4 linked regions of the Stegostoma tigrinum genome follow. The protein of the gene in region 2 interacts with the protein of the main gene of each other region in a pairwise test. Links are inferred from orthologs where the notes say so. Each region holds a gene or a part of one and is shown on either strand. Other genes may lie near its edges.

Region 1 (7,706 bases), on a different chromosome or scaffold from region 2:
AATTTTAAAGGAAAAACAATGAGCAGGTACAATTCAGCTGCATTTGGCCAGTGAGAGGTTAGAGTTGTTGGCAAAAGCAGAATCTGTTATTGAGCAAGGGAGATGGGTTGTGGTTGTCTTTCCATATTTTCAGAGGGTTGTGTGAAGTGAAAGAATATATGCTGACTCTCAGATTCTATGTGTTCCTTCAGTTATTTTAACTGACACTGGAAACTGTATTGGGCTATCTACAGAGTGTCAACCAGGTCACCTCTGGATACAATCAAAGGAGCTTGGTACATGAGGCTTTAAGTATATCCCCATTACTCAGCTCAGTTTAATACTACAGGGTGGAGGAAGGGGAGCAACGACTCATTGCTAACATTCAAAAGATATCCGACCAACTTTTTAAAAAGGGTACATAAAGTACCTAGATAGGCCCAAGTACAGCCCGTTTTTATGTTTATATTGACAGGGTGGGCATCCACAAATGTTGTGAGAAGCTGTTAGAGCTGCTGGAGAACAGTATGACCTCCTTCCTCTCCCTTTCCATAATATCCCCTCCCTCACACCCTCTCCCCTATTGAAAATACCTTTCATAATGAATGGCGAAGATGAGGTTCGATCTGACCAGAGTAAGTCGAGCCTTAGCCACTCCTTTGGATGCTGGCGATCGTCCAGATGTTGTGAGCAAGGCTACAAAATCTACAGAGGGCAACAAGCTGAATGAATTCTCCAGCACAAGCATCACACTATTACTACACACTTGGGTTATTGTCCAAACAAAGAGTATTTACTATTATCACAAAAACCGAAAGTGCTGGAGAAACTCAGCAGGTCTGGCAGCAGAGGGGAGAAACAGAATGAGTGTTTCCAGTCCGGTATGAACTCTCCATAGGTGCTGCCAGACCTGCTGAGCTTCCCCTACAGTTTATCTTCCAGATCTCCAGCATCTGCAGTTTTCTGCTTTAGTTTGGGTGTTTAGTATTTTACCTGTTCTACTGTCGTCCATTGAAATATCCTCAGAGGTGATGTAGGAACGATCATTGGGGCTTTTTTGCAGATTGTCCTCTTTTTCAAGAGGAACATGTTCAAATCCATCGAATATCTCCTCTGGTTTCTTCCTGAAGCTGCTGGCGTTGTCTGCCGATAGAAAGGGAGGGTTGTTGGCGCTGTCTGGAAACGCTCTGTAAGGTAAGATCTTGTCAACTGATCAGGGTTAAAAAGCTCACCTTTCAGGCAGGTTCTGCAGCAGTGTCCGGGCAATAAAACAGGGGCACGACAGGGCAGCTCGGGACAGTCGTGTTTAATATTTCTGCAGTTTACTTTGCCATTAACTTTGCCTCTTCGATTTATTTGCTTTAAAAGGTAAAGATTTGAAACACAAATCATATTTTTGTTGTTTGAAATAGCCAAAAAATAACCCGATTGCAAACAATGGAATCTAACGCCTCCCAATATTGGATCTACTGACAACACCGAATGGTCTAGGGAGATCTCACATACGAAGTGATGATGCCACTCATATTCAAAAGGAGAAAACCGCCTTATTTACCGAAAGGATATCCTTGCATCGATTTATTTGCTGTCCGGTTCCATAATTCCTGATAACAAGATTTACCCAATAAACAACTCAATCCTGATTAATAGCAATATAGTTAACACGTTTGTTATTCAAATACACACGTATCCGGGAGGAGGGACGGTGGTGGTTGGGGAGGGGGTGTGGCGGGGTGGGGGGGTTGGAATCCAATCAGACTGTACCTACACGATTAAAAATGAGGAGGTGGGCATTTTACTAAAATCTGAAATGTGTACTGGTCTCCTTAGAGCTCCCAATCTCTTGTTAATGCGGAAGTAATACCTCAGATAATTGTAGGTAATTTGCAGACGGTGGTCAGAAAGGTTGCCGAGTAGAATTGGTTTATGTTAAATGTAGTGGAAAATTAGGATTTGTTAATTCGTGGCCTCATGGGGCATGCAGTGTGTGGCTCAGCTCCCTGGTTACTGGAAAAAAAACCCTACAGGGGAACTTGTCGAATAGTTCAGAGCCGCTGCACATTTCCTTCTATTGATTCACAGAAAACGCAAGCCAGGCATTGACTTCTGACTATACCCCATACCACGAATTCTGTGAAGCAGACTCTAGGCCACAACGAATGAATACCGCCAAGGCTATGGGAAAAGAGCTCACATATCATAAAGGAGAAGAAAATCGTATTATATGAAGACCATAACGGAGATTCTAGACTAGGAAACCTGCTATGTTGTAAAGAATATTGTAAGGTGACCCTACAGCAGTAAAGTAGATCTTATTGGTTAAGGGATGTACAGAAGATGCCACAGATTGTGTGCGTTCCAGGGAGATATGATGGTGCGAATATAGCAAAGAATTATTACATTTGATCTACTGACAATACTGAATGGACTAGGGAGATTACATTTGGAGACAGTAAAATAAGTTAACTGAATTCTCGGTTGGCACAATAGAAACCCAGGAAGCAAAGGGATGCATTTGATCCTCCCCCGCCCCCCACAACACACAGGTAAATAATGTATAAAATGAGTGGCATTGAGTTCTTTGTCCCAAATAAAACAAAACCATCCGATGGCCATTAGAAACATACCGGCTCGCAATGGCAAACGACGCAGTGCATGATTCCAAAGGGTTGTCCCAAGTCAGGGTGCCAGGTATCCCGGAGCGCGTACAGCTTGTCACCGAAAGAGCAGCCTACAGAGATATAAGGCGAACATGTGAGGGCTCGGCCTTTCTCTGGCCGACGTGCCCACCCCCAAATCCAATATTATCCTCACTCCTCTTCTCAACAGTTAGGAGTTCGAATTCGATTTGCTAAGGAGAGAAACACTTGAGCATTTTTCGATTAAAAAACTTCCCAGAGTTACATTTCTACAACAAAAGAGCCACTTCTGAAGAGAGAGAGAGAGAGACAGGGTAAATTGGAGAACAAACTGCAATCAGTCTGTTATTGTTGCAGCCCATTCCCGCAGAGTCCTGAAACATGGTAAGATGACAAACCAGTCTTGGCGACCGGAGTTACCTGCAGCTTCTTTCCCAAGGACGGGGTCATCTTCTGCCTGAATGGGTAGAGAAGGCACCTTCAGTCGCAAGCTGGTTGCTTCATCTATCAATTTCAAAATAAAAACAAGGTGCAGCACAGAAACCAGCTCTTCTGTTTTCATTGTGTCAATCGAGTCCAACGATTCACTTTCTCACTGGGCAACGGTTTGCTCCAACTAACCACAGTCAGCCGAGAGGCCTTGAGGAGCTTTTGAAAGCTGTGTCGGTTTGTTGTGGCTACAAGAAATGCAAGCACTCCAATAGTTCCCTGTGCTCGAACTCCTTGTTTTTATATACTTCCAAACAAAGCCCTGAATATGCATCCAAGTCAATAAAGCCTTAATCAGTGGAATATTCAAATCGACTCATAGAAAGATGATTAGCAGGCACAGCGTGGGATCCTCTTCAAACTCAATGGGAAAGTGTTAAAACAATGAAAACCAGACGTGGCTCGACTCGGAGCCGAGAATCTAGTTGTGTATTTTAAAACAGAGAACTGCCACTACGAAATTGAGTTAATTGAACAGTGAAATACACTTTTATAAAGCCCGGGGCGGTATTTGCATTTGTCCAAAGCAGAACAAGACGGGGGGAAATTGTCTGTAAAATCAAGTCCAGAAAGCTGCAAAGTACACTCTGCTTGATTGTGTTACTGTCTAGAGCGCCAACGCCTTTCCTTGTAGCTTTTGCAATGTACCTGTAAACTGTCTAGGTATCGGAGTACCCTGATGGCCTGTCCGTATACATTTCCAATCGAAATGGTCAGCTCCATTTCTGGGACTGGTCCATTGTATTTACAGTTTATCCAACGTGTATTACACATGGATCGGAGTTCAGGATCTCGTTTCCTCGGTCCTCTTTATTTGCCTTGAATTTAAGTGAATCGTGTGATGCCGACGCTGTGGGAGATTTCACTCCCACCAATTTGAGAGAAATCTCAGATTCATGCATTATACAAGCGGCCGCCTTTGTTCGCGAAATTTTAATCAATTTCGTTTCGCCTGCACAATGTGTTGTAAGCATGTAATGCATATAATGTTGTAGCATCATCTAGATTGGGATAAAACAGGAATAAATATTGCCAAGGAGAATATTTCCTGAAGCACAAGTGAATCTGAGACTATCCCAAATAATGATGAGCTCAGATTCTTCCCGAATCCAATATTCCAGACATATCTTACTAAGATTTCTGGCTACAGGAATGGTCCATCATCCGGTCTCAAAGAAACACATCTGTTTGATTTATTTAAACGAGTAGGCAGCCGATGAAGTTGGTTCTAATGCGAAATGTATTGGGTAATATCGCGAAGAAATTCTACGGGCCATTTCGGGGAGATGAGTCCCTCCGCCAATCAAATAACTAACCCAATGATAGACTGCATAATCATTCTAGGACTGCCAACTACTGGGCTATAAGTTTATATTTAATTACTCTTTCCCAACGATTTTTAAAAATATCACTTCCAGAATTCTCATTGCATAAGTGGCCTAAATTTAGTACAATTTATTCACTTCAATACGTCTGCGTGGAATTGTAATATTGTTCACATCTCTCCTCAGCTCACTAATGCTCACACTCTGAAGTAGTGGAATTGGGAGATCTAGAAAGAAAGTTTAGACCAGTCTGACATGCAGCAATCTCAGAGCACTCTCCGAGCTAAATTCTACATCAGAACCCAACAGAAACTCGACTAATTACCTCTCCCCCTCCCCCGTAATCTGTGAGATCCCATGGCATTTTCATGTACAATACTGAAATTGAACGTAAACTCATAAACTGTATTTCGGCAGACAGTTCTTCAATGGAAGATGTTGCGGCCTACACAGATTGGTCTGCCTTGTCTCACATGAACCCTGCACATTCTGGAAAATTTGTGTGCGATCTTTAAATGCTGCGTTGCCTCAACCTATATCACTGTACTTCACCAACGAAAGAAGCACAGTTTGTAAGGGCAGTTTGTGAGTTATCCCATAAGCTTAATTGTAATGTCTTATGGTGGAAAAGGATATAGTTCTCCAGCATTTTCTGTTTGTTTCAAATTTCCGGCATCCTCAGTATCATATTTTGAAATACATGTAATTTGATAGGTGCAGCATTCAGAATAATCTAAAATCAAGTGGGCCGTGTCAAGGGAGTACCACTTCACCCGCCAGGCAGGAAATGGCAACGCTGATCCTCGCTGGTTGCAGTTACGGGCTTTGCTGCCATACCAATGCAGAAATCAGAAAGGGATCCGGGCAGAGGGAACTGAGGACGATCCCAGAGAACGATCACGTCTCCTGCAGAAGAGATAACACAGTGTGGAGCTCGAGGAACACAGCAGGCCAGGTAGCATCAGAGGAGCCGGAAAGTTGATGTTTTGGATCAATTTTTCTATCCTCTGATGCTGCCTGGCCTCTGTGTTCCTCGAGCTCCATACTGTTATTTCTGACTCCAGCATTAGCAGTTCTTACTATATCCTGTAGAACAGCGGGACGGCGGAACCGAGCAGAGACACCGTTTCTCGGGGAGAATTCCGGATACCATTCAGCTTCTGGGATCGAAGAATAGCAAACACCAATCATTTAGTTGGGATGATCCTAAAAGTAGATCTTCCCAATACCAACATATTAAACAGGGAACCCCGTCCGATTCTGCTTTTCTAAAACAGATTTATATTGATTTTAAAAATAATTAAAACTGTTCATGTACATCAGCGAAACTGAAGGTTAAGAAGGACCACAAGACAAACGCACAGTCAGAAATCTAACATTGACCGCGGGCTTGTGAAGCGACCGTGTTGCGCTGAGTAAATTTGCAGGCGCAGTCAGTGGGATTAGGCTCAAAATTGGACGGTTCACTTTAAAGTTTGCACTGATTTTAATTCGGTGTCACTTCTGGCGTTTGGTAGACTTGGTCCCTGTGGAAGTTCTTCTCAAACAGTCTGTTTAGTTACAAAAACAGTATGTGCTGGAGAAACTCAGCAGTTCTAACTGCATCTGTGGAGAGAAAAGCAGAGTAGACCTTTCGAATCCAGTGACTCTCCACCAGTTCTGTTTCTGTAGCAATTTCTGTTTTGTGCCAGACCTCCAGTTCTTTGTTTTATTTTCAGGTTAGTTAGACCGCTCTGCCCGGCTGTTAAATGTAAAAAGGTACGAGCCGAGCTGTGCTGGTGAGAGATGGTTTGAAGAGGTTCAGTGATGTTGGAGACCAGCTGTGAGCCCTAGATGTGGTGAACAGAGCGCCACACAAATACACAGAGCGGAGAAGCAAATATTTGTTCACAGGGCAGTGGCAGGAATTCCTGACAACAACAGAACCTGGCTTGATCTTTTTTTTCTGTTGAATTTGGAAAGAAATGTTTCTTTAGCTCAAGGAACTGCAAACTCAGCCAGCGTTCTTTGAAATGCAGTTCTGAAGCTCCATAGCTGTTTGTAAGGAGCTGATAATAAATAATACCGGCTCACCACTGAGTGCAATTCAACTCGCACACTGCTTTACAAAAAGGCCTCAAACCTCTTCGAATTAGAAGGTCAAGAAAAGACAGCAAATCAGTTAGGCGCTACCACTTCACTGTCAATAAGTTGTTGCCACTTTCAACTTGCAGTTCCTGAAAAAGCTTTCAACTTTTTCAATATTATTGATCAAGTGTGCATCAGAGCGAGTATCTAACTGCATTTCTAAATTGCTCCAGGGCAACACAAGGAGGTGTTTGAAACGAAGAATTAACATTTTTAAAAAATTCAGTAAAGGCTCCTAAGACGGGTGCTGTCCCTGCTCATACAATAAAAGGGCGGTAGCATCTGTATAATGTACAGTGGCATCCTGTCAGACACAAAACATTACACAAAAACTATTAGAAACGATTTCACAATTAAGGTGCTGATATTGTATCATCGCTGATCTGCAAACAGTTACTTTGTTATTTGTTACAAAGATCGAAGACGTAACAGGAATGTTTTTTCGTGGGATTGGTTACCTTTTGAATACCTTTATTTCCATTCCTTAGGGACAACATGTTTAGTTCCGTTTATTTTCTCTCTACATATTTATACATTCAAACATACCTGCATATTATAAAGATCTGCAGGTAAATACATCCTCACAAGCAGTGCTTCGGTGCTTTCTGGAATTAAGACCAATTGGTAAGCATTTCAGTAAGTCGACATGAGATTTGTATTTTCCACTAACTTTTAAAATTTGATGTTTTTAAAAATGAGAGCTCGAAAATTAAACTGGCAGCAATGAGTGATTCGCCGATGAACCACATTCACACTTGAGCTAACCCTGCCTGCGGCTCCGGCTAAGTCAGTACTCACTTCCCAGACCTGCTCCAGGTTATTTTCACAACGATAATCCAACTGCAATAATCAGTACAAACAAAAATGATGAATCTACATCTCAATTGCGAAAAAAATTATTTTGTTTAAGGATCGGAACAGAATATTTGCAACAACGCATAACGTATTTCCTTAAATTAGTTATTTTATTACAAATATGATTTAACATGCCACTGGGTGTATTTCGATACAATTAACCGGATTCTGTAGTCGTTTTCTATTTTTTCCGCATTCTGTGAGTTTGTTACAAGAGGGTATCTGCTAACTTCGAAAAGACTGACAGGAACGAGTCCCAATCGATTAGCAAGCTTTAAAACACATTTGTTTT
Region 2 (8,233 bases):
TATCCTCAGCAAGAGCCTCTGCAAAAATTTTCCTAGAATTCTTAGACAGTACCTTACAAACCTGTGATCTTTCCCACTTGGGCAAAGACAGCAGACTCATGGGAACAGCACAACCTGCAACTTACCCTCCAAGTTGCACACTGTCCTGACTTGGAATGATGTTACTGTTCTTTTACAGTCACTGAGTCAAAATCTAGCCCCATCAGCATTGTGCAAATACCATTTGGACTGCGATGGGTCAAAAAGGCAACGAGCCACCACTTTCTCAAGGGCAATTATTATAACCAGCAACCCTCCCAATCCCAATAATAAATGTGAAAAGGAAAACATAAACAGCCAGCTTACTGTTAATGATGATGCTCCTGAGTGTCAAGTGGAGACGAGATTCTCACTTGTTAGAAATGGTCATTCTGAGGCATTTAGGCAGAGTGGATCTCACATTTGTTACAAAGATGCACCTTTTCCTGAGGACTTTGAAAGGATTGTGTGCAGTGGTTCATTTTAAAAGGTTGAGCCACCCTCAAATCCCGCTTTGGAGTTCCATTTGATTGTGGTCTCAAATTCACCTTCCCCTTTACCCCCAAAACCTCTGAACCCCTTGTTCATCAAAACTCAACCTTCAACAGATGGCATTCCAGAATAAACATGGAGGCCCAGTCCTCCTGCAGGACATCAAGAAGCCAAAGCAGGATGAGTGGGGCCTTTAACTCATTTTCACTGCTTTTTGAATAAAACAATTCCACAAACTAATGAGAGAAAGAAATAAAATCTCTCTTGAAAGGGAGTCGTCTCATTTTTAACAAAAGAATCAGAAGTTGCTGGAAAAACTCAGCAGGTCTGACAGCATGTGTGGAGAGAAATCGGAGTTAATGTTTCGGGTCCAGTGAATCTTCAGAAGTTATTTCTAAACGGTGAGATTATTTCAGCGTCTCGCTGCATGCGATAAAATCAGTCTGAAGTATTGTGTAGGAAAGGAAGGCCTGGAACATGTCACAACTTTTTGTTTTAGCAATCATAACAACACGTATTTCACAGAGAAAATGTTGGACACACTGAATAGGTGGTTGGCATTTTGAAGAGAATATGTTTGTTATTGTAAAATAAAACAAAAATAAAACAGATGTGTTAGTGTTTCGGGTGTACGCCCTTCATCAAAACGCAGTGTAACTCCTGGAGTTACAGATGCTGCAGATCTGCAGAATGTTGCAATCAACAGGCAACTTCAATTAATCTGAACCAAGTCTACACTGATGTCCGCGTTCAGATTTACGCCTCCTGTTTACGGTGATCTGTTGAAAATGAGAAGTTTCAATCCTTTATCCACCCCTCCAAATGACCTCCTGTCGCCGAATCCCCTGAAACTATCTGAACTCTAATAATGCGGAGATCTGGAGGCTCAGTAACTGGGGCCCGGTCGGTTTCCCCGTCAGGAGTTCTAAGTTAAAGGGCCTTTCGGAACACCCGGGGCCCGGCATTTTTCTAAGTATCAGACCGATGAAGATTAAGTGAAATCTCTTGAAAGCTTGGTGAGGAGATTGTAAGGACATCAGTCTAGCGGCATCTGGTTCCCGTTACTTGAGTTGTGCCATCTTCTGAAATCTGAATCGTTGTGTTGAACGCGCAGTGTTTTCTGTCAGATCCCCGATCCTGAAACCGGGTGCCAGCAAACTGAATATACAAATCCCTTCAGCCTCTTGTTCCGATGAAGAGTCAGATTGGACTCCAGATGTTAATATTTGTTTCTCTTTGCCCAGGTATCGCCAGATCCGCTGAGTTTGTCTGGCATTTGCTATTTGCATGTCGGATCTCCAGCATCAACAATGCTGTGCTTTTGTAACTGTACCAATTATTTGGCTTTCGCCTTCCCACCCCACATTTTTATATCTTAGATAAATAAGTAGCTGTCAAGAATTTTGCCTCGAATTATTTCAAGTTTTATTTTTGTTTGCATTCTCAAAAGCATGGTGCCAAGTATCTCGATCATGAACTGAAGGGAAAGAATTCCATGTTTGGAGTTCGGGGGGGAAAATGTTTGCAGGTCGCACGCTGTGCCAGAAATTAAAGCGAGTTTTGCAAAATGTAGCCGCTATCACTTTATTTCCCAAATGGAGAGGCAGGGACAAAGTCCATTTTAGACAAGTTGATTCGCTTTCAAAACAAAAACAAACAGAACGATCCGCAGGTGCTGTGAATCAGAAACAGGTCTAGGGGAGGAAAGGTCACCGGACCCGAAACGTTAACTCTGATTTCTCCTCACAGATGCTGCCAGACCTGCTGAGCTTTTCCAGCAATTTCTGTTTCGGTCCCTTTTAAAATACACAGTGAGCATGTCATTAAGAGAGGACCCAATGAGTACGTTATTCGGGTAGAGTTCACGTTTCAGCTCACTTCTGCCCAGTTGATAAAAAAAATCTCTTCACCATGCTTCTAGACTGAGTATTTTCACCATTTATTTTGTTTTCTTTCATACTTTCAACTTCGGCGGTTTTTCATTTCTGTTGTCGTGTTTTACATTTTGTTAAATGCGGGCCAACCACTCCAGCGTGTTATACGACCAGGGTAACATCTATCACAGCAAACTCATACTGAAGGGCAAATTTGGCACTGTACAGCAGCTTTTGACTCGTTCCACAATCCCTCGTCCGAGGTTAAAAAAACTCTGATTTTACCTGAAAAGCGCAGTATCACAACATTCAGGACGGAAAAATTCGCTCCTAGACAGTGAATGACTCCAAAATCCACTGCACATCAACATTATCGCAGAAATCAGTAACCCCCTTATTAAAATAAAAGTTTTTATGAAGCTATCACCAAAGTGACATTCAGCTGAGTTCAGCTCTTGCGGTGAGGATCTTGCTCCGGATGGGAACATGTGAGGAACAGAGTCCCTGATTCAGCACGTTTGATGTTATTTCACTCAAAACACTATGACATGTACTTGTCTCAACAAAGAACAGCTCTCGAACACTGAGGGAGCCTTTCAGCTGGAGGGATTTGAAGAAACTTGATTTCATTTATTTTTCAATAAAATTCTCAAATTACCAGTAGCGCCAAACGGGGTTCAGGAACAGTTTAGAATTTGCCAGCGATCTCGTTACTTATTGATTCCTAACTGCGGAAAAGAGGCTGTTCGGCCCTTCCACTGTGTGAGATTGTTCTGAAATAGTGCCGCAATTACCTGTAAGGAGATGGAGACTGTTTAAAAGTTGGTTGTGTTGAAGATGATATTGATCCCAGTCTTTTTCACTATTGTATAGAGGTGCCGTTTTCATTGTCGATGGACACACTCTCAGAGGGGAGGCACTTCTCTGGAATACACTATTTTGCTGTCCCGAGTTTCCGAAATTAATTGAGCCCCGACTGATTTGCGTGAAACATTGCGCAATGAGATGCCTGGGTGACAATTCCTGGTCACATCTGTGGAACGGAGACAGAAATCCGCCGAAACTTCGCTGGTGCCTCGCCGTACAACCTGAACCGCTCCGGCAGGAAGCTCAACTACCACCTAATCAGCTCCAGTCGTTGAAGATGTTCGGAGTCTCTAAGAAAATGTGTACAAATCGATGTCTGCGAAAAGCAACACAGGGCTTCCTTTCTAAGAAACGAGCGATAGCACAAATCACGTTACATTCGTGCCAACAATAAACTTTCTGACATTCGTCTCAAACGAGTTTCTTTTCAATTTCTGCTTTTGTTTCGGGAAAATCAAATTGTTTACAGAAATGATTAGTTGCTAGCATTCAGATTTGTTTTGCAATTTTACCAATAACAAATATCTTTATTTTCGCCCAATGGTTTGTCAATGAAGGAAAACATCGTTTCACATCGACAACTTTTAACCACAGGATTGGTAACACTCGGACAAGCGATGTGATTCCAGGAAAACACAGCTCCAACTTAATTCTGTCCTTCGATGGGAATATCAAGGCAGAAGCGATTTTTCACGCGTTTTCATCCACTGGGAGCCTTCTGTTATATAATTCCCGGCCATCCCCCTTCCCCTTCTGGTTTAAACATTTGAATTGACTACGGACGCTGACAAACTCCTTAATATTAATTCTGGCGACGAATTTTCGAAGAATTATTTTGAGGGACCTTTTTTCTGGTTGGGAGGTGGTGGGGATTTGCATGACTAATTAGATTTCACATTAGGTTTCAAAAGAATTTTACTCTGTTTAAATCCATTTTGTCTATTTCTTAGATGATCTGTTTTTTAAAGGATTTCTCTCCGTTTTGACTCTGTTTCAGATTTAACAGAAAAGGAGCACGGGAAAGGGCAGCTAATCCCGGGAATTAAATGCGATTATTGAACAGGATTTTTTTTCTATTAACAAATGAAAACATTCACTTGCAAATCAAAACGTCCATCATGAGGACGGAGTAACTGATAGACAGGAAGATCGATTGGGGAAGGGAAGTGTCCGGCGTATTTTGTTTCACAAGTTTCTTTTTAACCCTAACCCAAACACCTAAACGTGACTTCATCGGTTAGGAATTTATTCTGTCATCTGAAGATGTGCGGTTGTGTTTGCTTTGAGGACTCTGATGAGAGGATCAATCGTTCCCTTTCGCTCTCATTGTTCGCTGCTTTGCGGGACGCCTTGCTTTTGGGCTGAGTTGTACAGACGGCTCTAGTGGCACTGACTGACAGACACAGGTTCACTACCCCCTAAGTTGCGGCACGTTAGAGACATCTGACACCCCAGAGCTCCTAGAGGTTTTTTTTGTGGGGGGGTGGGAGGAATAGTTTGCTCCCACATCCACCTCACCCCCCCCCCCCCCAAACACACCTACCCACTTCCATTTCTTCAGCATCACCCGTCATCTGCAAACACACAATTCTCACATCGACAATAGCAGGTCACAGCTATACGCAATAAGGAATAAAGCCTGCCCTTAAACTGGTACAAAACCTTGTTTCTCTTTCTCTGCGCCTGCGAATTTCCGGTCATTAATTGCCATGATTTATAGGGCTGATGTTTTTTTGGAGGTAGCTTCGCATGTGGCTGGGACCTTGCCTTAGATCCAGCCCCCCTCTCACATTACAAACTATTTATATATCTTCCACGATTTCCCCCTGAAAGCAGCTCCCTGGGACAACGTGCGATTGGCTCCACTTGTCACCCGAAAATTAGCTCTGCTTGTGTGTGTCAGTGTGTGTGTGTGTGTGTGTGTTTGTGTGTGTGCCTGTTTATTCAAAGGGCTCCCGGCTGTTAAACAGCGATTGATCCAGATCTCTTTTAAAGAACCCTGCTTTCCTGGAAGCTGTTTACTTTGAAATCGAAGGTGCTTTGGATATAATTCCAGCCGCTTGGAATCTGAAACCCCGCTCCCATGGATCATACAATATTTAGCTGCCTGCGCGGCTCACATGCTCCAGCGCAGAGCCTGCACCACTTCTCTCAGTCTCCACTAGCTCTCCATGGAAGATCAGACCATGTGGCTTTTCCAGACCTGTCTTCTTCTTCTTGTATCATAACGGGATTTCCTAATGAAGAAAGCATGTTTACAGCTCAGCGTCATCATCATCACCTACATCATCACCACCGAGGTCATCCCCAGCAGCAACCCCAGGCACCGGGCGCTGGCCAGGCAACATGGCACATCCCTCAGATCTCCTCACCCCCTCCCCTGGCGCGGAACACACTCTGTCTCCAGTCGGAATCCGGGGGCCCGGAACTGGGCTCCAGCCTGGCGGACAGCAGTCCCAGCTTGAACCCCAATAACCCGCTGTCCTGTGTGTCGGGGGATTACGGGAGGCCGGCGGTCACTCCAGTGGAGACAGAGAAAAGGAATTCCAAAAGGAAAAGTGACGGCTCAGGTAAGCGACCCGGCTTCAGTCGTTTCTGAGCAGCGGACGCAACCAACTATTTCGCGCATCAACTTTGTGCAGATTCAAGCTGTACTCAAATTGTTCAAAATCACTCCAAATTGACTGGCGTAAACTGATGTAACAAACCTGGCGTTGGTCTGATTCATTCGTTCAGTTAACGCTCACCTTCAAAAACAGACATCTATATTTCCCCATAGCCCTTAACTGATTGGTTCTGGGCTGCTCTTGCTTTTTTTTTGTTTTGCAACCTCCAAACACTTTTGTTAAAAGAAGGCAGAGTTTTAACCCGATTCTTGGTCACATCCCATATGAAACCGGGAGCCGTCAAAATTCAGTCACGGGCCAATACTGAATGGCAAATCATTAAGGGTACTTTAAATGGTAAGGAATTGCCATCAGCGTTCCATTGCAATGCCGCTGTCTGAAATTATGGAATAAATGCTGGACAAGAAAACATCGACATCGAACGCAATCATATTTCACATATTTATCTTTTAAATCCAATTACAATGAAGCACCGAATACGTGATCGCCTGTAAATTCATATCTCTCTCCAATAGTCTCCATCTAAAACAAAACAGTTCTGTGAAATTCTTTCCTAACACATTCCACTGATTAAACGGCTTTGATTTTTATAGTTTCCATATAGTTCGGAATATTTTCCCCTTTCCATCTCTCTTCTTGTGTCTCGACATCGAGTTTACTGACTCGCGTTGCCCTCATTTTGCATCCCGCAGACTTTAAATTGTGTATTTGGTAGGCTTTGCTGTCGTTAGCTGCTCTAAGAAATTAAAACAATAAATTGTTCAAGCAATGGGTAAGTGTAAGTAATAGAATATGTCTCGTGCTATTCAAAAAAAGTTAGAAACCAGAACTGCATTGCAGTAGAGGCTCGATTCCTCGACAAAAGCGCATTGTATACATTGCATCCGACTTGAAGCCAATAAATAGTTTACGTCAAGATCTATGTTAAAAAGCCTTTCGATAGTTTAGTGGAAAGCTCAAACATTCTGCAGCTAAAATGGAGAGTCCCTTTTTAAAAATTATTTTCGTTTTAAATTCAAAGAGATTGAACCTAACGCTGTATGACATTTCTACTTGACGAAAGCATCGTCTTCCCCCGAAGATTTATGCTAAAATATACTTTGCGACAATAAATCTTTTGTCGGTTAATGGGCTGCATTTCCTCTGATTCACACATACATCACCAAACCTTACGAAAATAAAGCATAGGCAGGAAATAGAAAAGTCCTTTTCAGTTTCACTACAAAGTCTGAAAGTTTAAACTGCAAAGAACCAGACTCCGTATTACTGTTTTTACACCTGCTGCCAGCACCATTTCAGTCCTTCGATTATTTATGTTCATTTCGTGGTGTAAACAAAGATGCAAGTCCTTACTGAGTCACACAGAAAACGTTTTACTCTCAGAGATCGCTTCTAGTCAGGGCGCACGCCCTGGTGAACCGGTTTCGGGAGATAGCTCAGAACTCGCCGTACAAAATAACATTGTAACCTTTATGAAGTGGGAACTGTAAGTAGTGAATTAATGTTCCGTGGAATAGACTAAAGTACAAAAGGCAAGTCCCGTTTTAAGAAATCCAGATATGTGATTTATGTAGAAATTTCTCAGCTAAAGTATCTTCTCCTCACTCTACCAGAAAACATATTAAAAAAATACAGACCAACCTTTTTAAAGATGTTTCTTTCTAATAGCACTTTCATAATAAAGCCCTAGTGATTATAAAACACAAAGTAAGTATAATGCTATATAAGACGATTTGAAATCTTATTTTTTATATCAGGAACTGTTTTCAAAGGTTGCAAAAATCCATTTTCTGTGTTACTTGTAGAAACTTAAATCAAATAGTTAACTGTCATATTGAACGGTGAACAATAAAATTAAACATGAATTTCAACCCTTTATGATATAAATTATATACTTATGCAGAGAGAGAATTTTTTAGAGTATCTGCAAAATGTTATGAAAAAAATAACCTCAATTGCCTCAAATGAGGATGATAGAATTGTTCTCTATTAATATATGTGCAAACTAGTTATACTCAGTCTGCATTATGAGAAAGGAAATCATATTTAACCAGTTCATTGGAATTCTTTGAGCTGTGACTAAAGCGGTACCAGTATTGAACATAGATTTCGAGAAGGTTATTGATAAGGTGGCACATCAATAATTGCAAAAAAAAAGTTAATGCTGCAGAGGGTAACATATTGGCTTGCACAGCAGATTGACTAATCAACACGAAACAGAGAAAAGGCATAAAAAATTCATTTTCCATTTGGTAAGATGCAATGAGTGATGTGTCACAGGGTTCTATATGGGGGCCTCAACCTTTTATAGTTTAATAAATGACTCGGATGAAGGGCCCAAAGCATGCTTCCTAC
Region 3 (7,408 bases), on a different chromosome or scaffold from region 2:
CAGCTGATTAAACTTAGAAACAAAGTATGGAACTCCTTGATCTTTCAGAAGAGTTAGTAAGAAATAAGTATGACAGGTGGGTCTTTCCTGGACAAGGCAGGGAGCAGTCTTCATAGACCTCCACAACACTAAATGCGAGTAAAAACAATATTACATTACTACTGTTCAGATCGTAAGAAGGTCACAGGTGGCACCGCCTACATCAACCATGAACTTCAATCAAGTAAATGACTCACTTTACTGGGAGCATTATCATCACAAATAATGCATGCTGGAAACCAGCAAGTCCATGCCTCTTGATTTTAATATTCAATTGGTTTGCATGTGGCCATTTTATGAATCGGGGAAAATATTCAAAGCAAAGATAAGACTCCTATCACAACTTTTTGTGGCAAGTAAACTTCATATTTTCCTCCACTTACAGAGAGCCATTCAACAGCCTCATCATAAGGCAGGAAGTTGTTGTGATTGGGCCCATTTTTCAGTTACGTTGATATCTTGCATTTTACATATGAGTAATTTGGCTTTGTTGCACAGATGTTGGCAAATTTCACATACAAGAAAAGGAAACCACAAATCGTAATCACTTCAGCATGTCTGTTTGCAAGTTACAAGTTTCTGTTCTTGTCCACAGGATTGAGTATCATTATTTTAACAGAGCCAAATGATGTTCCTTCAAAGAGGTGGAGACCCTAATGACACTATGCCTCAAATGACCATCACATGAAAATTAGCTCTATACATCAGTCTGCAGCAAAATGTTGTTGCTTACTGTTATGACAAATGCCCCAGGAAAACTGATCCAAAAATTTGCTGGCCAACCAATAATGTCTAAATTGCATTAGCATTTATATAACAGCTGAATTGTAAATTAGTTTCTTCAGGGAGAATATTTTCTATCCTTTCAGAAAACTTTGTGGTTCAAAGGTATTGTGTGCCAATGTTCTACAAAAGTTATTCAGAGTGGGGGTCATTTGAGGTATTTCAATGACATGGAAAATTCAACTTTTAAAAAAAATTTGTAATTTTACCCAACATTCTAACATGGAAAGGTCTTATGCCATACAGGCCAAAAAATCTGAGTTTAAGTTAGTATATGCCTAGTAATTCATTTCTATTCCAGTGCTCCGACAGAATCTCTGTTACATTAGTAAATAGTGAGGCCAAGAGTATGTTTGGTTGGGCTTCTTGCAAGCCTGGGAACAATGACATCCGAGCAAGAAATGGGAGTTGCCAGTTCCATGATATTGTATCCAGCAAAATCTAGCACCTTCTTTTTTTAACACCATAAGGTTTCAATGTTCAGGGACACAAAAAAGAAACAGGAGGCCTCAGTCAAACATACTTTAGCATGGATCGATGCTGGGTCCACTGCTCTTTATATCTTTTATGTAAGTTAATTAGATGCAAATAGGGAGATCTGGTCAGGACATGTGCAGATGACACAAAAATCTGAGCAATCTAAACATCCAAGATGGCAGCGGAACTTGTCCACTCCAAACGTTTCCCTTTTTCTTTCCCCCTCTCATATTGCCCCCCACTTCCCTCTTCTTTCTTTGCCTGGCCACAGCTTTCTAGCCTCTGACTCAGTGCAGACTTGACGTAGCGGGGCAGTCTCACAGCCTGGAGGAGCGATTTCTCAGCACGCTGGTCTTTCGGCAGTAAGTGGCAGCCTCTTGGTCCAGCATGGCCTCAGTGTGGACTTCCGGTCAAGGTGACTCCTTAAAGTGCAGACTCACCATAGCTAAGCAGTCAAAGACTATAATGCTTGAATTTTCAGCTTTATTTCTTTATTTTCTACTTAAAACTAAGCAGGTGTCACTGTGCTATAATTACTCCAATGTTTAACTCTAAACTTGGTTCTTTCTTTCTATCTACCATGTTCTTAAGATTCTGTACCTAGGTACTTGTACCCAAGATGGCACCTTGTGAGGCAACATTATACACTTTTCACCATTAAAATTGGCGGTGTCGTGGACAACGAAGAAGGCTGCTTCAAAAGTACAACAGGACGTGGTAAATGGAGTTTAATTTAGATAAATGCGAAATGCATTTACCTGCAACAGATCCAAAGTCATGGGAATGCTTTTAAGTTCTTTCAATAAATCGATAGCACCACTCTGCAGAATTAACAGAAAAAGCACAACAATAAGTTATTGCAGTGTAAGCTGAATAACTGAGGACCAAGACATGTGCATGTAAATTTACAATACTATAACCAATATGTTGGTCAACACAGAAGAATTTTAGAAACAAATGATGTTCAGTCTGCACTAGTAGAGAGAATACCTAAAGGTTGTCCCACGTTTGGAGCAGACTAAACTTTCTCTGCATTTAGATGTCTGCACCCTAGTGACTCCCGAATCAAAGCCTAATTAATCCTAAGGATTAAAAATCATGACACCGCTTCAGCTAACAGAGGATATATAAAATATACATATGCCAAATGTAATTACCAAAGTTGCAATTCAAACAATATTGACTGCACTCATATCCCTCCCCTCCACACCTTCAAACCTCTATTATCAACTCAAGAAAAAGTTAACTTCAGCCAAGGATATAGGGTAAATGCATCAAGTGCAAGGCCAGAGATCCTCATCGCTTGTGAGCATTACTGAAATATTTAACTTCACACCTTTTATTTCAGAATACACCAGTTAAAAATAAAAATTGAATCAACGTTCTCTGAAAAATACCCATCACCATATCAGCACCTACAAAGGAAAACAATAACTTCCAATCAAATATCCACTACTGGAAAAAATTATTTCTAAAAAAAGGAACTCCTTCAAATAACCTTGTGTACTACACTCCACCTCCCCCAAACAAAACTACAAGCAATATGAATTTAAAAGCAGATGAGCACAAGGGATCAGAGGACGCGCTCCGATCCAACATTTATTTACATTATAAACACCAGGCAGGAGTGTGGCACCAGAAGCCTCAGCATTTCCCCATAAAAGTTAACGTTTACTGCCCGAGGATGCCCTTCACGCTTGTGAGCAGCTTAACCATTCACTGCACTTGGCTTGTCCGCATCCTGACGGTTCCGGAGGCAGGGAACCCACAGCCAAGCAGCCGGGCTGGGCACTGCGCCGCATCACCAACCCCAGCCGGCCGGGCGGACGGCCAGCATCGACACCCACCGTGTTCTTCTTAGACACCATCTTATCCATCTTCTTCGCGATGCGTACGATTTCCTCCAACTTGCCCATTCTTTTCCTGCGATTCTTTTTTCTTCCTCTGTCTCTGATTTCGCAAAGCTAAGGTGAAAGAGAGACAATGGCCGCAATCATCAGTACCAAAAAACGCCAAGCTCCCTTCCGCCGCTCAGCTTCTCCTCTTGTATATGGCGCTTACCTCAGCCATTCACAGTCCGGGGCACCGCGGACGCAAGTGTCCCTGGGCTTTGTAGTTCCGCCTCTGCCACCAAAGGCTAGTTCCCAACTATCACCGCTGGGCTAGAGGACTACAATTCCCAATATGCATCGCGTTGCCCGGGGAATGTTCTGGGCGACCTCGGTGGCGTGCGTTTCTAGGTAAATCATCTTCGTGGCGCCCTCTCTTGAAGTTGCAATCTGTTCGTTGGGTTTGGGTTCCTTTTCGAGAAACTTCTTCGCGCCTCCCCTGTTGTGGAAAAAGGGAATTTAGGTTACATCTACCGCTACCGTGAATCGTCGTCCAAGCAAGACCTGGCATCTTTAAAGCTTTCATTCCTTTTTGAGTAGAGTGGGTGGAGAAGATTCGAAACGTAACTTTTAACGAAGAAAGTCTCATGTCAGCATTGAAGTAAATCAGTCATAAACCTTAGAAATTGATTCATTAAATTCTGTCAAGGGAGAAAACAGAGCTAACTAACGCTTTTTTTCCATCACAGATGCTGCCAGACCTGAGCTTCTCCAGCAACTTTGCTTTTGTTCCTGATTTTCCAGTATCCGCAGTTCTTTCCGTTTTTATTGATTAAATTCTGTTCTGTACGGGTTTGCTTCCTTTTAAAAAATGGCCTGAAACAGTCCATTCAAAAGACATACTGAAAAAAAATCCAGTGACATTGTTTTAGCGGCGGATTGATTGGGATGTAATATCTTCACTGCAACTCCTGTCTAACTTCTTAATTTAGATAGAAAGAAATTAATGCATATCTGAACTGGGTTTACAGTAAAGCTGAATCTGATATGGAAATAAAGGAAGTCACAATGGTTACAGTGAAAGACGATTCAGCTCATATTATCTGGTGCTAATCTGTTCCTTTTTACCGTATATACTTAGAGCATTTCTGTCCAAACAATTATCTAATGCCCTCTAGAAGTCTCAGTTAATCCTGTTTCCACCACATGCCCAGGCACTGCGTTCTGGACCCTTTCTCACGTTGTCCTTACGGGCTAAAAGATTTTTATTGTTATCATAAATTTTTAAAACTTGAAATCAAAAGGAATGAGAACAACTTATGTGGTAGTGAAACATTTAGCTTCCATTCACAAATTAAATTCATACGTGAAAGTTTTGACCAAGTAACTTCTAATTATGTGATTGATAATGACCAATTAACTACTTTGCTATTAGTTAATTTTAATTGTCTCACTGGAGTTTCATTTCTTCAGGTTTTATAAAATGTACCATTTACATTGGTTTACTCTTTCTTTCAACACCTAGCATGCTTGCTAAAAGTATCAATGAAATTTGCACTATGAATTTCTGTTTTTAAATTTATTTTCCACTATATGGTGAAATTAGCACATACCAAAGTTTAATGACAAACTTCTTTCTTGGACCACAGCTACCTCCACCCCAGTTTTTGGAATGGTACAGCTCAGTACTTCTGTTTACTCTGGGTTTAATTCAATAGCCATACCATTGTCCTGATCTTTCCCCATTTGCCTATTTCCCCTTTTAAAGTACTTATTCAATTCTCTTTTGACAGTCACTCTTTAATCTGCTGCCTCTACTCCTTCATCCAATGTATCCAAATCACGACAACTTCCTGCATGTTGGAATGTTTCCTCATTATCTCTGGTTGTTTTGCCATTCGTTAAGTTTGTCTCCCCTGATTACCAACTGGAAACTATTTCTCCTTCACTTTACCAAAAATGCTCATGATTTTAAATCAAATTAGATCCTTCTCAGTTCTACGAAAAAATATTAGCTTCTCCAGCTCTCCACATAGTGAAAATCCTTCATCTGTAGTATCACTCTAATGAATCTCTTTCACTATTTCCAAGAGCTTGACAAGCTTTCTAAGTATGGTGCCTAGCTGAGTTCTGTGAATAATTTGAGAAGGCCAAAAGAAGACCATATTCTAAGCAAGATTGAACTAAGATTCTTTTAAAATGCCTCATCTCCTTTTGAAGGATAATGGTGAGGTATCCCAAAAGATGGAAAAAAATACCTTCTTGAGCTTTTCCCTCACTAATCTACATATTGCAGATGCATCTGACCATTACAGTATTGTAGGAATGATCATGTAGTCCTTGTGAAGTCAAAGATCTATCTTGTCACTGTGATATCGGGAACTGCAGATGCTGGAGAATCCAAGATAACAAAAGTGTGGAGCTGGATGAACACAGCAGGCCAAGCAGCATCTCAGGAGCACAAAAGCTGACATTTCAGGCCTAGACCCTTCATCAGACAGGGGGATGGGGAGACGGAACTGGAATAAATAGGGAGAGAGGGAGAGGCGGACCGAAGATGGAGAGAAAACAAGATAGGTAGAGAGGAGAGTATAGGTGAGGAGGTAGGGAGGGGATAGGTCAGTCCAGGGAAGATGGACAGGTCAAGGAGGCGGGATAAGGTGGTGGGTAGGAAATGGAGGTGCGGCTGAGGTGGGAGGAAGGGATGGGTGAGAGGAAGAACAGGTTAGGGAAGCAGAGACAGGCTGGGCTGATTTTGGGATGCAGTGGCATTGTGGCACTGCAGGAGGCCCATGATGGACATGTCATCTGAGGAATGGGAGGTGCAGTTGTTTGTTGCTTCCCTAACCTGTTCTTCCTCTCACCCATCCCTTCCTCCCACCTCAGCCGCACCTCCATTTCCTACCCACCACCTCATCCCACCTCCTTGACCTGTCCATCTTCCCTGGACTGACCTATCCCCTTCCTACCTCCTCACCTGTACTCTCCTCTCTACCTATCTTGTTTTCTCTCCATCTTCGGTCCGCCTCCCCCTCTCTCCCTATTTATTCCAGTTCCCTCTACCCATCCCCCTCTCTGATGAAGGGTCTAGGCCCGAAACGTCAGCTTTTATGCTCCTGAGATGCTGCTTGGCCTGCTGTGTTCATCCAGCTCCACACTTTTGTTATCTTGTCACTGATTATTTTTGCAGTGCTGCTGTGCTGCTTAATGAGATGGATTCAAAACAGATCTAGCAGCCAAAATGGAACATCTTTGAGACAGCAGCAGAGTTATATTTAATCACAATCTGAAACCTCATAACTCAGCATTTCCTCTACCGTTAACATCAAACCAGAGGGTCGACTCTCGTTCATTCAATGAGGGGTGCAGAACAGCATACCAGGTGCAACAGCAGGCAAAATAAGATAATGGTACCAACCTGGTGAAGCTAAAACATAGGACCACATGTGTTCCAAACATTGTAGCACAATGCAATAGACAGTGCTAAGTGATCCTGCAACCAATGAATCAGGTCAAGTCTTTGCTATCCTGCTACACTCAGACATGAATGGAAACAAATAATTAAGTAACTTACTGCAGGAAGAGGCTTCAAAAAAATTCCCCATTGTTAATGATGGGGAACCTCAACACGTCAGTAAAAATAGTATATGCGATAGTTCTCAGCTGATATGTTGATCAGGTAATCCAACGTGATCTTCTGAGGTCACCGCATCATGGATGCTAGTCTACAGACAGCGGATTTGGTCCACATAATGTCAAGAAGTAGCTTAAAATACTAGATACTCAGAAGTTATGGGTCCTGACAACATTTTGGCAGACATTGTAAAGACGAGTACTAGCCAAGTTGTTCTAGTACATCTCCAACACTGACATCTGCTTGGTAATGTTGAAAATTACCCCAGTTGTGTCTTCTCCACAAAAAATGGAACTACATCTAGTCTGGTAATTTATCAATAATAGTCCCAGCAGTGCTTGTGGAGCGGTAACTTTCTCACATGTTCAGTTTTGGTTCAGCAAAGGCCGCTTGTTTCTGGACCTCATTGCAGCCTTTGTCTAAACAAAACATGGAAGCAGGAGTGGACCATTCAGCCTGTAAAATTGGCTCCATCATTCTAGTTGGTGGCTGATCATCTACATTTTCCTGGACTATCCCATGTCCCTGGATACCAATTGTATCTAGAAATCTACCAGTCTCTAGATTGAATATATTGATTACCTGAGCTTCGAAAACCCTCTGGGTAAAGAAATCCAAAGAATCACCATCTTCTGAGTGAATAATG
Region 4 (7,694 bases), on a different chromosome or scaffold from region 2:
GTGATTCACCAAACAGGAACCTGGGGGGCCTTCCTTATCAACAAAGCAATTGCCCAGGTCATCCCACACACTCTTCATGTGATGTAGGGCCTCACACTACATATGGCCAATAAGAAAGGAACGCAATAGGCGACAAGACTGTGCACAAGGAACAGGAAATTTCTGCAGCAAAAGGTAAAGTTCAACCATTCCGTTTCTGCTTAAAATGATCAAGAGCCCTCCTGTGAATCTCTGCCGCTATTTGGGGCTCCCTATGCCTTTCCTCACCAATGAAACCAGCTTTTTCGGTGCGAGTACCCCTCTATCTCCAACTCCATCAATATCACCGAGCTCAGCTCTCCCCCTCGGAACTGAAAACTGAAACAGGAATTTGTGGATTAAAAAAAAATTGCTTCATAAAAATAAAAGTGGGGACTGTGGGTCTTTCAGATTTTTCCCTCGTTTCCATGAGAGAAACTCCTCACCACTGGAGGTCCATCAGTGTGGGGAGGGGTTACCATGTTGCTACACGAAAGGCGCAGGGTAGCTCCGTGACCAGCCCTACCAGACACGGAGGCAGTCGATGGGATAACACTGCCCGAGCCAGGTCGGAGAATCTCCTTCAGAACACCACCATCACCGGTCACATCCTGCATTCTCTGAGACATGTAGTAGAAGGGGCTCTGAAATCAAAAGACATTAAATATCGTTGAAAGAAGTGTTGCACACCTGCAATATTCACATTGAGCCTTACATTTGACATTAGTCATAGAATCACAGAATTTTTACAGAATGGAGAACAGTCCTGCAGGCCATCACACCCATGTTGGTCCAATCGACTTTACCAGCACTTGCTCTGTAGCCTTGCATACTGAGTCATTTCAAGAGCTTAAAATGTCTTGAGGGTTCCTGCCTCCAACACCGTTTCAGACCGAGGTCCGAATACCTACCATTGTCTGGGTATAAACTCTGCCTCCGATCCCCTCAAAACCTCTTGCTCCTTGCATTTAAAAGTGCACCCTCTGGTTACTGACCCCTCTATCATATGCTCCCACTCAGCCTTTGCTGCTTTAAGGAAAACAACCGCAGTCTCGTTGGGCAACAACACCACCTACATCAGACTCCTGCTCATTGACTACAGCTCGGTCTCCAACACCTTTATCCCATCCAGACTGATCCCAAAACTCCGTGACCTTGGCCTCAGCTCTGCCCTCTGCAACTGGATCTCCAGCTTCCTGACCCACAGACCCCAGTGAGGATAGGTACCTGCACCCCCTCCACAATGACACTCAACACTGGAGCCCCCCAGGATATGTCCACAGCCCCCTACTGTACTCCCTGTACACCTACGACTGTGTTGCTAAATTCCAAACAAATGCTATCTACAGGTTCGTTGATGATATCACCGTAGTGGGACAGATATCTAACAACGATGAGTCAAAATACAGAAGGGAGATAGAGGGCTTGGTGATGTGGTGCAAAGAGAACAATCTCTGTCTCAACATTGGCTAAAACTAAAGAGCTGATCATTGACTTCAGAAAGTCAGGAGGAGAACACGTCCCCATGTGCAGTGCTGAGGTTGAGCGGGTGGTGAGCGTCAAGTTCCTCAGAGTGACGATGACCGACAACCTGTCCTGGGCTTCATATGTAGATGCGACAGCCAAGGCGGCACAATAAAGCCTCTTCTTCCTCAGGAAATTTGGAATGCCCTTAAGGTACCTCACCAACTTCAACGGATGCACCACTGAAAGTGTACAGTCTGGGTGCATCACAGCCTGGTACAGCAACAGCTGTACCCAGGCCCTGTAAGAAACTACAGGAGGTGTGCGCACAGCCTAGTCCATCATGGAAACCAACCCTCCATCCATGGACTCTATTTACACGGCTCACTGCCACAGAAAGGGGGTTATCAAAGACCCAACACACCCTGGTAATGACCTCCTACAACCTGTTCCATCAGGAAGATACAGAAGCTGGTACACACGCACCAGCAGGTTTAGGAACAGCTTCCTCCTGACCATTATCACACTGTTGAATGGGCTCCAGCCTCAAATAATGTTGATCTTGCCTGACGTACAGCGCTGTTACCTGTATGCCTCTTAGATTTTTTTTTTAAAACTTTGATCTGCACATCCTTGCTTACTATGATCTGCCTGTACTGCTTGCAAACAAAACTTTTCACTGTACTCCGGTACACGTCAAGAAATCAATCCATCTCTCTTCACAGCTGAAATACTCCATGCCACGCACATTCTGAGGAATCATCTGTACACTCTCTCTGGTGTAATTTTCTGCTCCCAAGTTAAATGGAAAATACAACTTGCATAATAAAGTTATTCCCTTACCTCCCAATTATTTTCCAGGTGTTGAATCACTCTGGCGACTCTATGCATGTTACCGCAGCAACCATGCTTCATATACAAGTGTGGGCTTGCTGTTCAACAACGGAGGTATCACAGCCCAGTTCAGTCCAAGCAGTACTCTCTCAAAATCCCTACCCCTGTTTAATAGGGGTCCAACTGAAAATCGAGGATCAGAAGCCTATAGCAATTCTATCTTTCTTTAGCCCCGAGGTATTGAAGCCAATAATGGTGCTGTAGAGGGACTGGGCTGGCTGAGCAGATGCTGGCAATGGCTAGCCATCATGTTACATGGTACAATACCCTATTCAAAACCCTCAAGTGCTAGACAAAGAACAGAATGATTACATAGTGCCAAGCTCCACTCAAAAAGGGGCATGCCATCATTTCACAAACACTGGCAGGACATGGTCCCTGCTTACAGCAGCACAATACCAGCAGATCCAAGTTATGCTGTGACTGCATTGCACTCTGGCCAGAGACCAGAAGCCAGATAGGTTTAGAAGGTATCAGTGATAATGGGAACTGCAGATGCTGGAGAATCCAAGATAACAAAGTGTGGAGCTGGATGAACACAGCAGGCCTAGACCCTTCATCAGAGCTCTGATGAAGGGTCTAGGCCCAAAACGTCAGCTTTTGTGCTCCTGAGATGCTGCTTGACCTGCTGTGTTCATCCAGCTCCACACTTTGTTATCTAGGTTTAGAAGGTAAGTAGCTGCGTGCCTAACAATGAAAAAAATCAAAATGACAATGTTAATAATTACCAGATGGCCATGAGGGCTCGGAGGAGGTCCATTCATTCTGTTAATACAGACACAACAACGAAGATGAATCTCTGGTTGCTGTCAAACTCCTAAATGGAGAGCACTTGGTATGAAGTTTCCAGGGAGATCAAAGTCTAGAGAGAAAATGAACATTAGTCACCACTGACCTTGTATTTGGGTGAACTTTTATGAAACTAGTTTCACTTTTGCTTAATCTCTAGGAACAATAGCAATAACATGCCTGAAGTATGTCATGGCAGTATGATGAGAACTACAAGGGATTAAATGGAGATGGTACAAGTTTTACAAATGGAGAACAAAGCCTTCAAATTCAACAAGCATGTCACACTTACAGAGATAACACAGTGTGGAGCTGCAGGAACACAGCAGACCAGGCGGCATCAGAGGAGCAGGAAAGCTGACGTTTCGTGTCAGGACCTTTCTTCAGAAATGGGGGAGGGGGAAGGGGATTCTGAAATAAATAGAGAGGAGGGGTGGGGCTGGGGAAGGTAGGTGGGATGGTGACAGGCGAGTGCAGGGAGTGGTGGGGATTGGTCAGTGAGTTGCCATTGTCCTCAAATCGCTCACTCTCCTGAAAAATAGCCAGCTACTTCAAAGCCCTGTACCCGTCACAGTCCTCCTGGTAATCTGCTTCACAACCCAACTGCCATTGGAGTTTCTCCTGATTCTGTTCTATTTCTAACACTAATCAATGTACAGAATCAGCTGTGACAATTCCTTTCTTCAACCAGAAGACCTCCGTGTTTAATCTGTCACTTAGCACGCTGTAATTTACATGTGGTCCCACCAGCAGGAATAAACTGCCCTTTTATGACCCAAACAACCTTGGATCTCCTTGTTTGGGAAATCTTGACAATAAGCCATTGGTATTTCACAATTACTCTTTTTCTTATCAAGATTTGCATCTGTATAGCACCTGACAGAATCACATGGCTGTATCAAAAGTACTCTGGCAATGAAGTGCTTTAAGTCAGTGCTGTAAAGTGGGAATTTAATTAATACATGGCACCTAAACTAAATCAAAAATGACAATGCAGCACATTACCACCCTTGCTGCAGTCTGGCTCCCAGGTACACGGTGTCATGAAGCAGGACTCACCAGCCTGTGAAATGTTTTATTAAAAGGGAAATTTACAAAATTCAATGTAGAAAATTCTCAGGGTATGGGTAACTGCTGTGTATAACACAATAAAACCAAACTACATGTTTTTCAAATCAAACTGGTGTCTCAAAAAGCAAAACCTCAGTTCAACAAAACCTGCCATTTTGGTAGTGTTACTTTGATTCTTAATCTCCGATGTAATTTCTGCTGGCAATAGCTTTCCATTTATCGACCTGATCTCAGTCTCGCTCCAAGATATCCTTGTGTAAAACAGTGCAGATGCTAATACACTGCACGTAAACGCATTTTAATATCAAAATCTAATCTGGCCCAAGGTCTGTTGATGTAGATTCTTACATTACTGTTGCTTGGCGTTTCATTTCTTACTGAAGGCAACCTTTTAATGTTTTACTTTAGGGCATTTTTGTAGCGGTAATCTTCATCTAAAAGCTAAATTACAAAAGCACTTCCTGACCTGCCAGGTAATGACACTGGATGTGTTCTTCATCTTATAGCTCTTTGTACATTAAACTTTCATTGGAAAGTAAATGAATATGAGGGGTTATTGGCCAAAATTCTTCCCAAGGGGATACAGTGAGCTTTTAAGAGATGACTCGAGTTTGTCCCAAAGGTAACACATTTATGGCTTTCTGGACACAATCTATTTCTACCAGGCAATATTATAATTGTTACATTGAAGTCTCCATCTTAAAGCACAGCACTCCTCATAATACAGCCCCAAAGCTGTATTGGAGCCCTCTGCCTATTCATCGGATGCTCTTTCAATTGTGTTTCTGTGCCTCCCCTGGGACACTGGCTAGTCATAATGCAGCACTGTCTCCTCTCCTGTGAGGAGATTGAATATCGCAGCAGATGTAAAAGGTCTCCAACACAGATGTGTACTGCAACAGCCTTCGGCTAGCAACTAGCGAGCCCACCATTTAAAGAATCCCAAGCCCAAACCCACTTCCCTTCTGTATTCACCGCAATATTCTTCTGAGCAAGGTGGGGAGAGGAATTCTGACCAAAACTGTACTGGGGGTACAGCACTAAGTCAGTTTTAAGAGCACAGCAGTGAAAAAGGACAACAGGAAGTTCTGAAGGAGGGACACTGTACTCAAAACATTGAATCTATTTTCACTCCACAGATGCTGCCAGACTGGCTGCGTTTCTCTGGTAATTTCGGTTTTTGTTTGGGCAAGGAATGTGGTTATTTAATCAGCATCACTACTGCGGCAGCACTTCCCACCATCTGCACTTAAAATACGTCGAGTGGGATGGAGTGTTTTATCTCAACCCAGAGAACGAGCGGGTATTGGGGCAGGATTCCCACGTGCTTCACACCTGAAGCAGCAAAAGTCCTACAAAAATATAGATAACTCCACAAATTCCACTTTGGGAATACTGCATTCAATTCTGGTCTCCAAGCTATAGGAAGGATGTTGTGAAGCTTAAAAGGGTTCTGAAAAGATTTACGAGGACGTTGCCAGGGTTGGAGGGTTTGAGCTACAGGGAGAGGCTGGATAGGCTGGGGCTATTTTCATTGGAGCGTTGGACACTGAGGGGTGACCTTATAGAAGTTTATAAAATCATGAGGGGTATGGTTAGGCTAAATAGACAAGGCCTTTTCCCTGGGGTTGGGGGTGGTGTGTCCAAAACTACAGGGCATCGGTTTTAGGCGAGAGAGGAAATATTTAAAAAGGACTTGAGGGGCCAACATTTTAATGCAGAGGGCAGTGCACATATGGAATGAGCTGCCAGAAGAGGTGGTGGAGGTTGGTGCAGTTACAGCATTTGAAAAGCATCTGGATGGGTACATGAATAGAAGGATTCAGAGGGATACGGGCCAAATACTGGCAAATGGAACGAGGTCAGATTGGGACATCTGGCCAGCATGGACGAGTTGGACCGAAGAGTCTATTTCCATGCTGTATACCTCTAGGACTTGTAATGACCATATTAGAAATGTCTCAGTACCTGACAGAAGAGGTCTACAGGTCAATGAATACTGACAGGCATTTCTGTCCAATTCTGAACTTAAGGACCTCTGAGGGTGTTTCCATACCATGCAGTATCGCTGCACAGCACACCACCAACATAACGGACTGGTCTTTACTTCTAAACATTTCCTGAGGTGGTCTAATCATGAAAGCGGATCTCTGTCCTGATCGTTCACGGGGAAAACTGCTGAGCAAAGTCAAATGTAGATGTAAATAGGGAGTCAGATGAATACTTGGAGGCACATAAAGGAAACAGGAGATGGGGCCTGAGTCAGACAGTGGGACTATGTAAAGAGCCAGTGCACAGGTTTTTCCTGTCTTGTCATATTCAGTGTTTCCGTAATGTCTACAAAGAGAATGACCCTAGGTTTGTGTCAACCACAGTGCCTGTCTTTTACCACCCTACCCACAAGCAAACAACTTACAAACTAACTAGTGTTACATGACTCTTAGCACATAGTGTCAGCGTGACATTGCAGATATCAGGGGGCTGGTGGCAACACTCGATAATACCAACAACCAAACTATAAATAGATCAACGTTATAGCGATGATTTTGTTTTTGTTCCATTTATATGCAATGCAATCAATTTCCACTCAAACACATTTTCACTTCAGAACAGCTTAGTTATTCAGTGCCATTTGTTGCTAGCAATCCTGGGAGACCTTGTGGCCCAGAGGCCTGTCTCATTGATCACCCATTAATGACTCCAAGTCACCGAACCAAAGTTTCTGCATGCATTAATACCCTGTCTCCAAAAGGTGAGACAGAGGAGATATATCAGGTCAAGGAGGTTGCAGTGTAATCAATTCTCATCCAGACATTTGATCAATACATACACATGCAGATACAGTACCATGTAAATGCATTTAATATCTTCTTCTACTGTAACTGTCACCGTTCTCCCAATGCATGCAGCTGTCTCTCCCTAGTCTCCCAGTTAAACATCCATTCTCTGTGAGCCACACCAAACAATGGGTATTGGAACAGGTGACAGCTGGGGAAAACATGTTAGAAAGAGCGCAGAGAAAGGATTTTCACAACTGGGTTTGATGGTGGCCTCAAAAGTCCACATCTAACTTTCTGTGGCAGTTGATGAAATATCAGCAGGAGCAATTTGCCTTTCTGAATCGAGAGCCCAGAGTTCAGTTCCAGTGCTGATGCAGCACAAGCGAGGGATCAAACTACAGTCAGTGTGGTTCAGTACCACAGTTGCGCGTAACTATTTAGCAAAGCAACACAGGCTCAGTCACTAAACTTTGACTGAGCATTCTCAAAGCCAAGATATATAGATTTGTGTTAAAGGTATCAAAGGATGAGTGGGTCAAAGATGGGAAAATGGAGCCAAGGGGCAGATCTGAGACAGTCCAATTGAATCAGGGCAACCCCAAGGGATTGTATAAACTACTCTTATTCTTTTGGTTCTCAACTCCAGAGGAAAGAAAAGAGTAGGACATTACGGGGTTA

The links.
Region 1: the proteins of meox2a (region 2) and chrd interact in binary tests that used the Homo sapiens proteins (3 or more experiments, as listed by UniProt). The two-hybrid records come from large-scale screens. The link is inferred for Stegostoma tigrinum from reciprocal best matches to the Homo sapiens genes MEOX2 and CHRD.
Region 3: the proteins of meox2a (region 2) and transcription elongation factor A protein 1-like interact in binary tests that used the Homo sapiens proteins (3 or more experiments, as listed by UniProt). The two-hybrid records come from large-scale screens. The link is inferred for Stegostoma tigrinum from reciprocal best matches to the Homo sapiens genes MEOX2 and TCEA2.
Region 4: the proteins of meox2a (region 2) and fkbp6 interact in binary tests that used the Homo sapiens proteins (3 or more experiments, as listed by UniProt). The two-hybrid records come from large-scale screens. The link is inferred for Stegostoma tigrinum from reciprocal best matches to the Homo sapiens genes MEOX2 and FKBP6.

What each region holds. Positions count from the first base shown.
Region 1 is NC_081367.1:43,961,583-43,969,288, reverse strand, and holds the start of chrd (chordin), read right to left. Parts: upstream 3,181-7,706; coding exon 3,039-3,180; intron 2,711-3,038; coding exon 2,607-2,710; intron 1,339-2,606; coding exon 1,190-1,338; intron 1,104-1,189; coding exon 973-1,103; intron 685-972; coding exon 573-684; intron 1-572. UniProt on the Homo sapiens protein: Dorsalizing factor. Key developmental protein that dorsalizes early vertebrate embryonic tissues by binding to ventralizing TGF-beta family bone morphogenetic proteins (BMPs) and sequestering them in latent complexes.
Region 2 is NC_081355.1:69,823,449-69,831,681, reverse strand, and holds the start of meox2a (homeobox protein MOX-2), read left to right. Parts: upstream 1-5,107; 5' UTR 5,108-5,334; coding exon 5,335-5,821; intron 5,822-8,233. UniProt on the Homo sapiens protein: Mesodermal transcription factor that plays a key role in somitogenesis and somitogenesis and limb muscle differentiation. Required during limb development for normal appendicular muscle formation and for the normal regulation of myogenic genes.
Region 3 is NC_081372.1:27,434,100-27,441,507, reverse strand, and holds the start of transcription elongation factor A protein 1-like, read right to left. Parts: upstream 3,454-7,408; 5' UTR 3,370-3,453; coding exon 3,361-3,369; intron 3,264-3,360; coding exon 3,147-3,263; intron 2,121-3,146; coding exon 2,058-2,120; intron 1-2,057. UniProt on the Homo sapiens protein: Necessary for efficient RNA polymerase II transcription elongation past template-encoded arresting sites.
Region 4 is NC_081380.1:13,248,705-13,256,398, reverse strand, and holds the start of fkbp6 (inactive peptidyl-prolyl cis-trans isomerase FKBP6), read right to left. Parts: upstream 3,500-7,694; 5' UTR 3,458-3,499; intron 3,239-3,457; 5' UTR 3,141-3,238; coding exon 3,105-3,140; intron 663-3,104; coding exon 545-662; intron 1-544. UniProt on the Homo sapiens protein: Has an essential role in spermatogenesis. It is required to repress transposable elements and prevent their mobilization, which is essential for the germline integrity.